3 linked regions of the Drosophila melanogaster genome follow. The protein of the gene in region 3 purifies or fractionates together with the protein of the main gene of each other region. This does not show direct contact. Each region holds a gene or a part of one and is shown on either strand. Other genes may lie near its edges.

Region 1 (3,753 bases), on a different chromosome or scaffold from region 3:
CTATCTTGGGCAAATGTTTGCCATCATTGGTGGCCATGTTGCTGCTGTCTTGCTCGGCCAGCTTGCAGCCCTTTCAGAGAATCAACCATTTATGCAAATAAATACAGAGATTACGGGTTTGGCCGATTTCCAGCCACTTACCTGACAGGGTGCCGCATCCAAGACGAATTCCACGCGCCGCTTGCTGGGGATCGCATTGCCCGCAGCAGCACCGTCCTTTGACTCCAGTGGTGGTGAGCACTTGCTCAGGTCGGCCGAGTTACAAGTGTGGAACGAACAAGACGAGCTGCTATCCTGGGGCTGAAGATTCGGAGAATGATAGATGAATAAATCCATTTTAATTGCAATATGTTTACCCACATTTACGTTTGTAGTGCAGGTATGAGTAATGGATTCATTGGCCTCCTCGGCAGAAAAGAAGGGGGAAACACCAGATATCTTGCTATCGCTCGTCTTCTCTGCATCATTGAGCGAGGTGTCGCCCTCGCTATCCGACAGCTCCATTATCAGACTATGCTTGTTGATGGCCTGCAGCAAGTGGGATGTCCCCGTGGCCACCGAGCCCATTCCGTTGTTTTGTCCACTTGAAACAGAACCGAAGTCATTCAGTTTCTTCTCTGACCCAAAAGACAGGTGCGAAGTAAGCGACAAAAGCTGGCCCGGCGTGCGGGCGTTTAAATTCGGTGAGCAGTTTATAAGGTCTGATATTTCCAGATCTCTTCGCATATCGATTTTGCTCAACCCAAAATCAGTAAGCTTCACATGGCCACTGGAGGAGAGCAACATGTTGTCCGGTTTAATATCTCTGTGGACAATTCCGTGCTGATGCAGATACTGCAGCGCCATCACCATCTCGGCCACGTAGAACCGGGCCGTGGGCTCGTCAAAATACCCAAACATGGCCAGCAGTGACTTGAGATCCCCGCCCACCATGTACTCCATCACCAGGTAGACGTAGGAGAGCGATTGCAGGGAGTAGAAGAGACTGACACAGAACTGAGAGCGGGAGAGGGCCAGGGCATTCCGCTCCGTGATTACCTGGGACACCATGTTCTTGTTGATCATCTCTGACTTGCGCATCACCTTGATGGCGAACAGCCGCTTCGAGTCGTTGTTCTTGTAGCCCAGGAAGACTTTTCCAAAGGCGCCGCGGCTGATTGGCTTAATGATGACAAAATCCTTGATAGTGGGAAGCTGTATAAGAAAGCGAATGTATCCATTACTATATAATAAAGTGACCTAAGTGGTGGTGGTAATTCTTATAGCCCAAGGCAGAACAAAGGAAAATAATATAGCTAAAGTTAGACATAGAAAAACTTCAGTTCTAGATATAAAAAATAAAAAATCTTAAAAAAGCATATGTGTATATATATAATTGGATAAAAGAAGATATATGTACATCAATAGCCAGTAAAAGGAAATGAAGAAAGGAGCTATGTAAAAAAAACAGAAGATAAATAGAACTGTAAAAATGTTTTTGAAATGGAAATCCTATATAACATCACATTTGAACGTACATATGTTTTTCGTTTTTCCTATAATACATAAACATAACCTTTTCATTAATTCTTGAACATGTACTGCCCTTTTTTAATCAATTTACATAAACACTGTGTTTAGAGGCATTTCAAATTTTCTTGATTAGCAACCGTGGCTAACTGTAAACCACCCACGTGTGGTAATCGCCAGTTTGCGATTCCTCCGCGTACCTTGGCATTCTGGGAGTGATTCTCCGGCTTGGTGGTAAGGATGTTGATCTTGTCCAGCAACTGCTCACTGTCGATCAGCGAGTGGGTCTTCTTGGGGGTTTTGTAGTCGATGTGGACATCCGATTGCGAAGTCGCATCGGCGTTTTCCATATCTTCCAGGTTTCCGACGGTCAGAGTGCGATTTTCTCGCGGTTTCGCACAATATATACAATTATCGTACAGAGATATACAATGTATAGAATTCGATATAGACCTGAATGCTATTAGCTTGTTTATTGCACAATTTTTATTTCAAACACACATTTAAAACAGCGCGTCTATTTTCTATGACCTGAACTAGAGGTGAAACTAATTCGATTCTTAGTATTATCGATGTTTCTAGAAATTTGACAACATCGATGTTATTGCAGTTTAAAATTAAACGATTTTTTAAACTAAAATTAAATATTACCAAAAAGAAATGCATATTAGTAAGATACCGGTTGAATATTTCAAGTAAATTTATTCAAATATTTCTTTATGCATATATATAAAAGTAGATATACACAAAAATGTTAAAAATGTAACAGTTAGTAACTATTGATAAATGGTTAGGCTTTTATTAATTTGATTTAAATATTATTTTTTTTTAAGAAACACATAGCAGGATCACCATATCACCATCACCATTATGAACAGTCGATAATTCCCGATAGCTATAAATTGTTATCGAATCCCAGCTCGCTTTGCAACACTTGCGTTCCACCTGGAATTTATTTACGTGCTGAAATTCGAAGTTTTTTTTGTGATAAAACAGCACTCCATGAATGAAAGTGTGTTCCGGATACAGCCAAACAGACAGTGAGCAATGCGCCATACCCTGTCATCAAATAGCAGCCGCCCAGAGTGAGGATCCGCTTGCCAATCCGTCAGAGAAATCCCCGCCAAGATGATGCCATACCTTCGCCGCCTTTTCAGCCAGGAGCTCTCTCCGGCTGCTCAGGGCGATTTTCTGGGCTGCTTGCAGCAGGCGCCCAGTGTCCTGGCCACCGGATTCCCTGGAGCACCCGCACTGGAGAGCCTAAGTTGGTTACACAACCTAGCGCCGTGCTTCCCGCTGCGAGGCGATCAAATTCAGGTCATCCACGAGCCAAAGCACTTCTACGAAACGCTGGTGCAACGAATCGGTCAGGCCAAACGCCGTATAGTGCTGGCCAGTTTGTACCTGGGCACTGGGCAACTGGAGAACGCAATGGTTCAGACGTTGCGTCACAGCCTGGAGCAACAGTCTGCCCTGAGGCTCAACGTGCTGTTGGACTTTACACGCGGCACGCGGGGAACCCTCAACTCCAAGACCATGTTGCTACCCCTGGTCCGCGACTTTGCGAGCCAGGTGCAGCTATCCCTGTACCATACGCCTGATCTGCGCGGGATGACAAAGCGACTAGCACCGCCACGGTGGAATGAGCTTCTCGGACTACAGCACATGAAGGTCTACCTGTTCGACGATGCCGTGATCATATCAGGCGCCAATCTGTCCAATGACTACTTCACCAACCGGCAGGATCGATACATACTCATTGAGGACAAACCGTTGGCGGATTTCTATGCGCAGTTCATCGAACGCGTTCAAGAGTTTAGTTTGGCAGTGGCGCCAGATGCCAGCGAGGGACTGCACCGCAACTGGCGAATACTGCCGTACGAGGGCACCAAGGAGCAGTTTATCCAGCTTGCCCGTAAACGTATTTCCGATTTAGTGCAGGAGACGTTTCAGCGGCAGGCGCGAACTAAAGAGCAGAATCCGCAGGCAGACACATGGATTTTTCCGCTGCTTGAGATGGGCCAGATCGGCATTCATCACGACAGCGTGGTGACCAAGCGGCTGCTCTCCAACTGCTTGTCTGGATCACGGCTGAAACTGGCCACCGGGTACTTCAACCTGACGCAGGAGTACATGGACACGCTCACGCACAAGTGCCTGGCCCAATGCAGCATACTGATGGCTCATCCAAATGTGAGTGGCTATCAGTAATTAGTTGACCAATAGTAACCCGATTTAATTCAT
Region 2 (3,753 bases), about 14 Mb from region 3:
CAAATTGTTAGCAATGGTCGATGTGGTAGTTTGTTTTGTAGTTTGCAAAACATCTATCGAACAAAAACAATGAATTACAAACCAAAGTAAATAAAAACAAATTAAAATATGTCTTCAACGTAATGCTGCAGTGTGTAAGCGGATGAGAACGGAGGGGCACTGGCGCCCAGCATGCAGCACATATCAAAATCAATTGGAGTATGCTCAAAGCAAATCCAATCGAGCTCCCACTTCCGAATGCCAAAATGATCAGACTCCAACCCAATCCCGAAAAGTGCATTGGCGCGCTCAAAATGGACGGAATGGACTCCCTGAAATCGGTTGTGTACTGTGCTGTTCATGCGTTAGTTGGAATGAGTTAGAGCCTATCTTATCCCTGCCTGGTCTCTAGCATTAATTAGTCCTCTGATGGCTGATTTAAGTGGGTTAACAATGAGACGCAGCCACAGGCAGTTAACGACTTGCTTATCTAAGGCATTACATCTAAGATAGAACCTACCATTCTGCTTTATTCGCTCGGCCATCAAGATTTGCTGCTGCTGGCGATATTGGATTCTGGGATCCTCCCACTGCGTAGATTTTGTAGTATGACTGCAAGTAGAGAGAACACCATTGTTGAGATTGCTGTTTTGGGTATTAGTTGAGCTAGTAATGATTAAGAGATAAACTTGAAAGACATCCAACGAAGCCAATGAGATTTCTGTGACTCACAAGAATATTTTAGTTTTCATAAGTTCATAAAGAAGACACGTATTAAATAAAGCTTCATGCATATCATTTTTAAAATCTGCCCAAACTCACTTCAAGTAGTAGATCTGGCCATCATTGGTCTTGGCTTGCTCCCATCCCGGCGGCAAGGCGCCTAGTTGGCGGTTCAACTGAATGGGGCTGATGACGTCGTAGGAGCGCTGCTTCTTGTGCACTGTCTGCATGGACATGGGAATGTCCTGCGACATGCAGGTGTTCATGGCGTCCAGATCAATGGCCGAGCTGGCCGGGGCGCCGCTGGGGAACTCTTGGGCACTGTTCTCTGGGAAAGTGGGCCCAGCGGGCTGCTGTTGGCTGCTCGGATTGGCATTCGGATTGTTGGCTGCTGCTGCGTCGCTCCGGGCGCGCACATTGTAGTTCTGCTGCAGCGAGGCGGGGCTGCTGCGGGCTCGGGAGTGATGTATCGCCAGGCGGCTGTGCTGGGGAGACGGCTGAATCTGGAGCTGGGGGATGGCGGCGATGGGCGACTGGCCATCTGGCTGCTGGACGATGGACGCCTTGTTCCCGATGTTGATGCTCGACTGGGAGCCCGCGTCGTAGGTGGAGTCGGCGCTGTTGGCCCGCGAGTGCGAGGGCGCCGGGGGCGTGAAGAAGGAGTTGGGCAGCTTCCGCATGCGCAGGGGCAGCTGCAGCGGGCGCTTGGCGTCACCCGGATTCAGGACGCTGTCGAATAGCGCCTGCAGGTTGTCGTCCGTGTCCTGGTTGACCCGCACCACCAGGTTGTTGGACTTGATCGGCGAAAGCATGTCCTCGTCGTCGATCTCCTTCTCGATCAGGCTGTTTGTATTGCTGCTGGCTGACATCGTCGTTAACATATAAAAGGCACTTATTGTATACAAACGAAAACTACATAGAATTATCTTAGCGATTAGGCACGCGCACATATATGTTCTTCCATATACGTATCACTCCATCGCGCTGCGCGAAACTATAACATTAAGGTGTTAAAAACTAAACTTCGTTGCAATAAATAATAGTAATAATAATAATTACGGAACTGCCAACATAAAATAAATTTATCCCAGTGTTGCCAGATGGCTATCCCCGTCCACTTGTCCATTCCGATACTAGCGTTCCTCATGTAATCGGCTTCGTGGCTGCACCTGCGGAATGCCAGGGGTATTCCGCAAGCCGATTACGACTTTTGTCGATTTCCTTTAGCTATAGCTAAAGATTTATTCTATATTTTGTAATTAATAAGGCACAAAACAAAGTAGATATTAAATTATGGTGTGTGTATAGCCCACACACTTGTGTTCCATAATATCAGACTATAAATTATTAGACTAACAATTATTATTTATTGGTTTATAACATTTTGTTTAGTGAAAATAAGTACAGGCAAAGGTCTGTCAAAAACACACCCAATAACAATATAAACTGATTGTAAATGTGCCTTGTTGATTTAAGTAATAAGTGCAGGTAAAGGTCTGTCAAAAACACATACCCAATAACAATATAATCTGAATGTAAATGTGCCTTTTTGTTTTCAGTGCACGTTCATTCAACCCTTTTCAAAACGATTGGCAGTGGAACAAGAAGCCGTTCCGTCTCCTGCCCGACCGGAATCGTCCCCTTTCCGTTTGTTCCCCGTAGAGATGAGCGCGGGCCAGGTCTGTGAGCACGAGACAGGTTTTTGACACAGTCAAGGTCCATCGCTAGTTCGGTCTACAGCAAAAAGTATTTTAACATTGTATATATTGGCACGACACAATTCGGAGGCATTTTTCGCTTAACAATAACTAATGTCGCATGACACAAATGTAAAATGATCGCCGTGCTGTTGGACATATTCTGGATCCCCATCGGGGGCTTCCTCTCATTTCTCATATTTATTTCCGCCATAAACAAATCAATCGGCGTCCGAAAAGCGTACGTGAACCTCCTCCTAAGGATATTCGAGGTAAATATTGCTTGCTTTCGTTCCTCAGATGAGTAAGCACCGATTTGAGGTGCTCCACTGCTGCGGTGGCTTTGCAAATGGTGCTGTCTTACCAATAGTTAAGCTATTCCAAAGTCCATAAATATAGTCAGCTTTTGGAGTACGCCATACTACGTCTGCCCTACGCAATTACTGCAATGCAGGCGAGTTCGAGAAACTATTGCTTGCCCGGAAGCTTTAAGTAGATTCTTCGGCTATCCTCAAGGAATCTGCGGGGCAGGAGTGCGCCAGTGCACCCAAGTTGCCGCTTCCCAGACACTTGTAAAGTGCCAGTCATTACCTCGTCCGACGATATGCTTGCGATAATCTTATCTGCAGATAATCCCCGATTCGACTCGTTAACAACTAATCACCTCTACTTTCAGTATGGTCGAGTTAGTATAGAGACAGCATCCAAAGAAAACCAACACATTCAAAATCCCAAGACTGACGACAAACAGGGAGTGCAACTAGTGGACGACGCCGATTCCAAAGAAGGCACCAATGGAGCCACATTGATTACCAGGGACGCGGTACTCCTGCCCCAGCCACAGGAGCCCGCTCCAGAGAAGCCAGTTTCCTCCACAAAGGTAAGGAGTCCGGCATTGCAATGGGCACCTGATTTAAACAACATTTCCCATTTGCAGGATGAAATCAATTTCGATTTTGAGAAATGCCTGGACTACGTAAAGTCTGGCGTGGAGGCCATCATCGAGGACGATGTTACGTCGCGCTTCGAGGCGGAGGAGCTCAAGAGCTGGAACATGCTGACACGCACCAATAGGCACTACGAGTTCATTTCCTGGAAAATCACCTCCATCTGGGTGTTCGGCTTCTTCATCCGCTACGTCATCCTGATGCCCCTCCGGGTATTGGTATGCTTCGTTGGTGTGAGTACATTCGGTTCATTTAGTGGCTTTTCCACAACTACCCGATCGTCCCGATTCCCATGCATGCTACAAATTATCCCAAAGGATACGCTTAAGTAATGTATTCCGCTTTAGACTGGAGAACAGCATCATGCATAGGGATTGGGCTGTCGAGTAGTTATCTTACAGTGTGAA
Region 3 (3,753 bases):
CTACAAAATTATAAAAATAATCGGGAGAAAGGAGGAGCGAGGTGGGAGGGAGGGAGAGAGCGGAGAACGCCGCAGAGAGAGGCCGAAATGTATCTACCACAGGCGGCCGCCAAGTGTGTTGAGTTTGGCGAGGAAACCCACCTAACCGCGTGTCCCCATCCAAGTATCAACTTGGATATATATATATATATATCTATCTTGGCGTACTGTGTGTACATATAGCTGGCTATATAAGCGTAAATATAGAAGTCGGCTATGTCCGCCGCCTACAACTTAACCGATGAACTGCTGATGATGATGAGAAATACGAAGCTACAAGCGAATCTCACCGCATCACATACATGCACCAATACTCGGGCAACTCGGGAATGTTCTTTTCTTTCATTTTCTTTTCTTTTCCTTATTTTGCACAAATTTACACTTTATTCTTTTGCGTAGATTTTTTTTTTTTGGCTTCGGATCGATGTCTGATTTATGTATTTCGATTTTTCTGCGGGACGAAGTATAGATGCATGTAAGTGATTGCTCATAGGCGGCATTACACGTGTTTTTTCTTCGGATATTTTAGCAATTTTACGTTTTATAATTCCATACACACACTGGCAGGCGCACACACATAGGTACAAGGCACTCTGGGCCAGCAAAAATGTTACTTACATTCTCGATTAACTGAAACTGAAACGACAACGAACACTACCAACGAACGAATGAGAATGACGGACGGCAAAGGTTGCACACATTCGCCGCGCCGCTGTATCTGTGTTTCTGCGCTCTCTCCCCACGCACACTCTAGCAGGGGCACATGCGCCGCCGCAGAATGAGAGGGAGCATATGGGGCTGGCTCAGGCGAGAGCGAGAAAGTGCGACAAGTGAGAGAGTTTCAGGGTTGCCAACCTGCTGTATAAATTAATGTTGCCAGGTGTGCAGGTAAAACTTGGAAACCAAACTTTCAGATAAAATATACTAATTAATAGGCGTCTCAGAACTTGTAGATAGAGAGCTTTAAAATGAGCCAGCTTTTATTGTCAAGTCTTTGTGTTATCATCGTTTTATGAAGTAATAGTTTATAGTTCGTTTCCAACCTGTTGAAACTTTCGAGCGCTTATCTCGCTGCCAGATTACGCTTTTATCTTGACTTTATGGCCTCCGCAAGGAGGAAACTAATCGGGAGATGTATGCCATTGATAAGGGGGTGGCGGTAAATTGCCTTAATTCTAATTTGGATTTCATTGAATTGGTGCACTCACACATAAAAACGAGATATCCACGTACTTATGATTTTCGTGAGGTGAGGCAGGGCCTACGATTGTGGGCCGGAAGTTAAGGCGAGGATTTAACAATCAATTTCTAGTTCTAATTATACTTAGTCCTGTCAATATGGGATAATTCGACAAAATTAGAGTATATTCTTTTGAGTCTTCTTCTATTGTTAATTATACAATAAGAAAATATATTTAATATTCTATGATGTTTTTGTATTACATTAAGCATAATGTTCAAGTCATTAAAAAAAAAAAACGGTAATTAGGTGTACGAGGAATTTTCTAAATAATCGTGTAAGTGTATTGCAATTCAACTCGTGCGTGGCGAAGACATGCTCACGCGCTCATCTCTACATTTTACTACAGCTCACAAAGAACAAGACGGAAAAAATTACGTCATCGGCGTCCTATTTGGTTGCGGTAATGAAAAATTGCTACGTCCATTTCCAATTGTAATGGGATTTTCGCAAGGCCAGTACCGCACGCAATCAAATGCGGAGAGCCCAAGGGGCAGGTGGCATCCAATTAGGAGGCCAACGGAATCGATAAAGTGCGTGGGCGCACTTATTCGGGGAAAATTTTATCCGCCGACAATATGGCGGTCGCAAGCCGACACACGACGCACTAGGTGAAACTACTTACTGCGCCTGGGTTTTCAAGCGAATATCGAATATATGCGTAATCCTTGGGCTCTCAGCACACGACTTTTAACTTAGTTTTAAACGAGCAAGCACTTATTAATTAGTTAATTCACCTCTTACGGCTCGGACGTGAAGGTTCTTCTTCTTCTCTACGCGCAGATGTGTTGGAAAACGAGGAAAGCTGAAGTAGGGATTGGCCCGCAGGAATTTTCCAACCCGCACGGTGCGAAATTCCGATACACGATAGAGCTATCGATTGTTGGTTAGGAACATTTACCATCTCTAGAAGGCCGCACGTGTTTACGTTCGGTGGGAAATATTCTTGGTTTCTGTTAAGAAAACGTTGCTATTTAAAGGCTACAGATATGCCGCGCTCCAAACGTGATAAGAAAGGTGAGAGTTTCGGCTTTAATATATACGATTTGTACTTATAACGTGCGATACTCTTCTTCCCTTAGTTTCCCTGACCAAAACCGACCGCAAGGGTCTGGCTTGGAAACAGCGCATTGTGGACGACATTCGGTTCTGCGTGGGCAAATACCCAAATATATTCGTTTTCCAAGTTCAGAACATGAGGAATAGCTTGCTGAAGGATCTGCGACAGGAGTTGAAAAAGAATTCTCGTTTTATCTTTGGCAAGAATCGTGTTATGCAGATTGGCTTGGGTCGCACGAAGAGCGAGGAAGTGGAGCCGGAATTGCACAAGGTAATTAAGTTTAAGTGGATTAACATATATCAGACACTAATCACAGGCTATGTCTATTAGCTATCCAAGCGATTAACTGGCCAGGTGGGACTGCTTTTCACGGACAAATCCAAGGAGGAAGTCCTGGAGTGGGCAGAAAACTACTGGGCCGTGGAATACGCACGCAGTGGCTTTGTGGCCACGGAAACGGTTACCCTGCCAGCAGGTCCCCTAGAGGACTTCGCCCACTCTATGGAACCGCATCTGCGTTCCCTGGGCCTGCCCACCAAATTGGAGAAGGGAATCGTTACGCTGTACAGTGACTACACGGTTTGTGAGGAGGGCAAAGTTCTAACACCCGAACAGGCGAGAATCCTCAAGCTGGTGGGCAAGCCCATGGCCAAATTTCGGCTGACCATGAAGTGCTCGTGGACAAAAAGCGAAGGCTTCCAGCTGCATGTCGAGGATGATGTGAACGACGAGGAACAGGCTGATAGCGCAATGGAAGAGGAGGCCGAGGCCGAGGCCATGGATGACAACGACGACGATGATGACGAAGAGGAGGATGATGAATAAATAAGTTTAAGGCGTAGAAATAATTTTTTTATGTATATATCAAGTGCAGAAAATATACGTATATTTTAAAAGTACATTACATATTATCTTACGTTCAACACAGATAATACTTGATTAACACTAGCTTATACTAATAACTAAGTAAACAAAACACTTAAGAAGCATTTCAGATATTGCAGCTAAAACCAAAGAAAGGCACAAAGCCTCAGGTTGCGTCGTCCGCGAGGATGTAGAGCACCAGAGGCTGTTCGTTATCGCTCTCCTCCTCCAGGAGTTCGCTGTTAGTTAGGGAAATATCCTGAGAGGCCGAGCCCTCCAGCTCCAAGGCACCGGTGCTAGCACTTGAAAAGAATTCCAGAGGCATGGGTTGCTCGGGATCTTCAGGATTCGAGGGGGTTTCAGTCTCCAGTGCCACGTCCTCCTCATCATTCTCCCCGGCTGACAACTCCAAATGTTATTGGTCTGTCGAGTTCGGCGGCACCGTGCAGCCCGCGGCAATGTGCTCCATCACCTGCTGCTTCAGCTGCGCCACATGGTCCTTGAGGTTCTTCACGATGCTAGCCAGGTCGACGTTCTCGCCCTTAAGTAC

The links.
Region 1: the proteins of 14-3-3zeta (region 3) and gwl purify together in Drosophila melanogaster (affinity purification with western blotting, with the first as the bait; one study listed by BioGRID). This does not show direct contact.
Region 2: the proteins of 14-3-3zeta (region 3) and yki purify together in Drosophila melanogaster (affinity purification with western blotting; 5 studies listed by BioGRID, with this or other methods). This does not show direct contact.

Annotation. Positions count from the first base shown.
Region 1 is NT_033777.3:18,744,678-18,748,430, reverse strand, and holds the start of gwl (greatwall), read right to left. Parts: upstream 2,062-3,753; 5' UTR 1,860-2,061; coding exon 1,710-1,859; intron 1,195-1,709; coding exon 361-1,194; intron 301-360; coding exon 142-300; intron 71-141; coding exon 1-70. Other genes in the region: PGS1 (phosphatidylglycerophosphate synthase 1), read left to right, coding at 2,638-3,702.
Region 2 is NT_033778.4:24,066,664-24,070,416, forward strand, and holds the start of yki (yorkie), read right to left. Parts: upstream 1,823-3,753; 5' UTR 1,653-1,822; coding exon 802-1,652; intron 592-801; coding exon 500-591; intron 54-499; coding exon 1-53. Other genes in the region: Gpat4 (Glycerol-3-phosphate acyltransferase 4), read left to right, coding at 2,537-2,671, 3,076-3,279, 3,337-3,579. UniProt on the Drosophila melanogaster protein: Transcriptional coactivator which is the critical downstream regulatory target in the Hippo/SWH (Sav/Wts/Hpo) signaling pathway that plays a pivotal role in organ size control and tumor suppression by restricting proliferation and promoting apoptosis.
Region 3 is NT_033778.4:10,098,002-10,101,754, reverse strand, and holds the start of 14-3-3zeta (14-3-3zeta), read right to left. Parts: upstream 2,079-3,753; 5' UTR 2,017-2,078; exon of another isoform or gene 1,905-2,016; intron 720-1,904; exon of another isoform or gene 578-719; intron 1-577. Other genes in the region: RpLP0-like (ribosomal protein LP0-like), read left to right, coding at 2,269-2,296, 2,362-2,609, 2,670-3,164; Jra (Jun-related antigen), read right to left, coding at 3,619-3,753. UniProt on the Drosophila melanogaster protein: Required in Raf-dependent cell proliferation and photoreceptor differentiation during eye development. Acts upstream of Raf and downstream of Ras, and is essential for viability.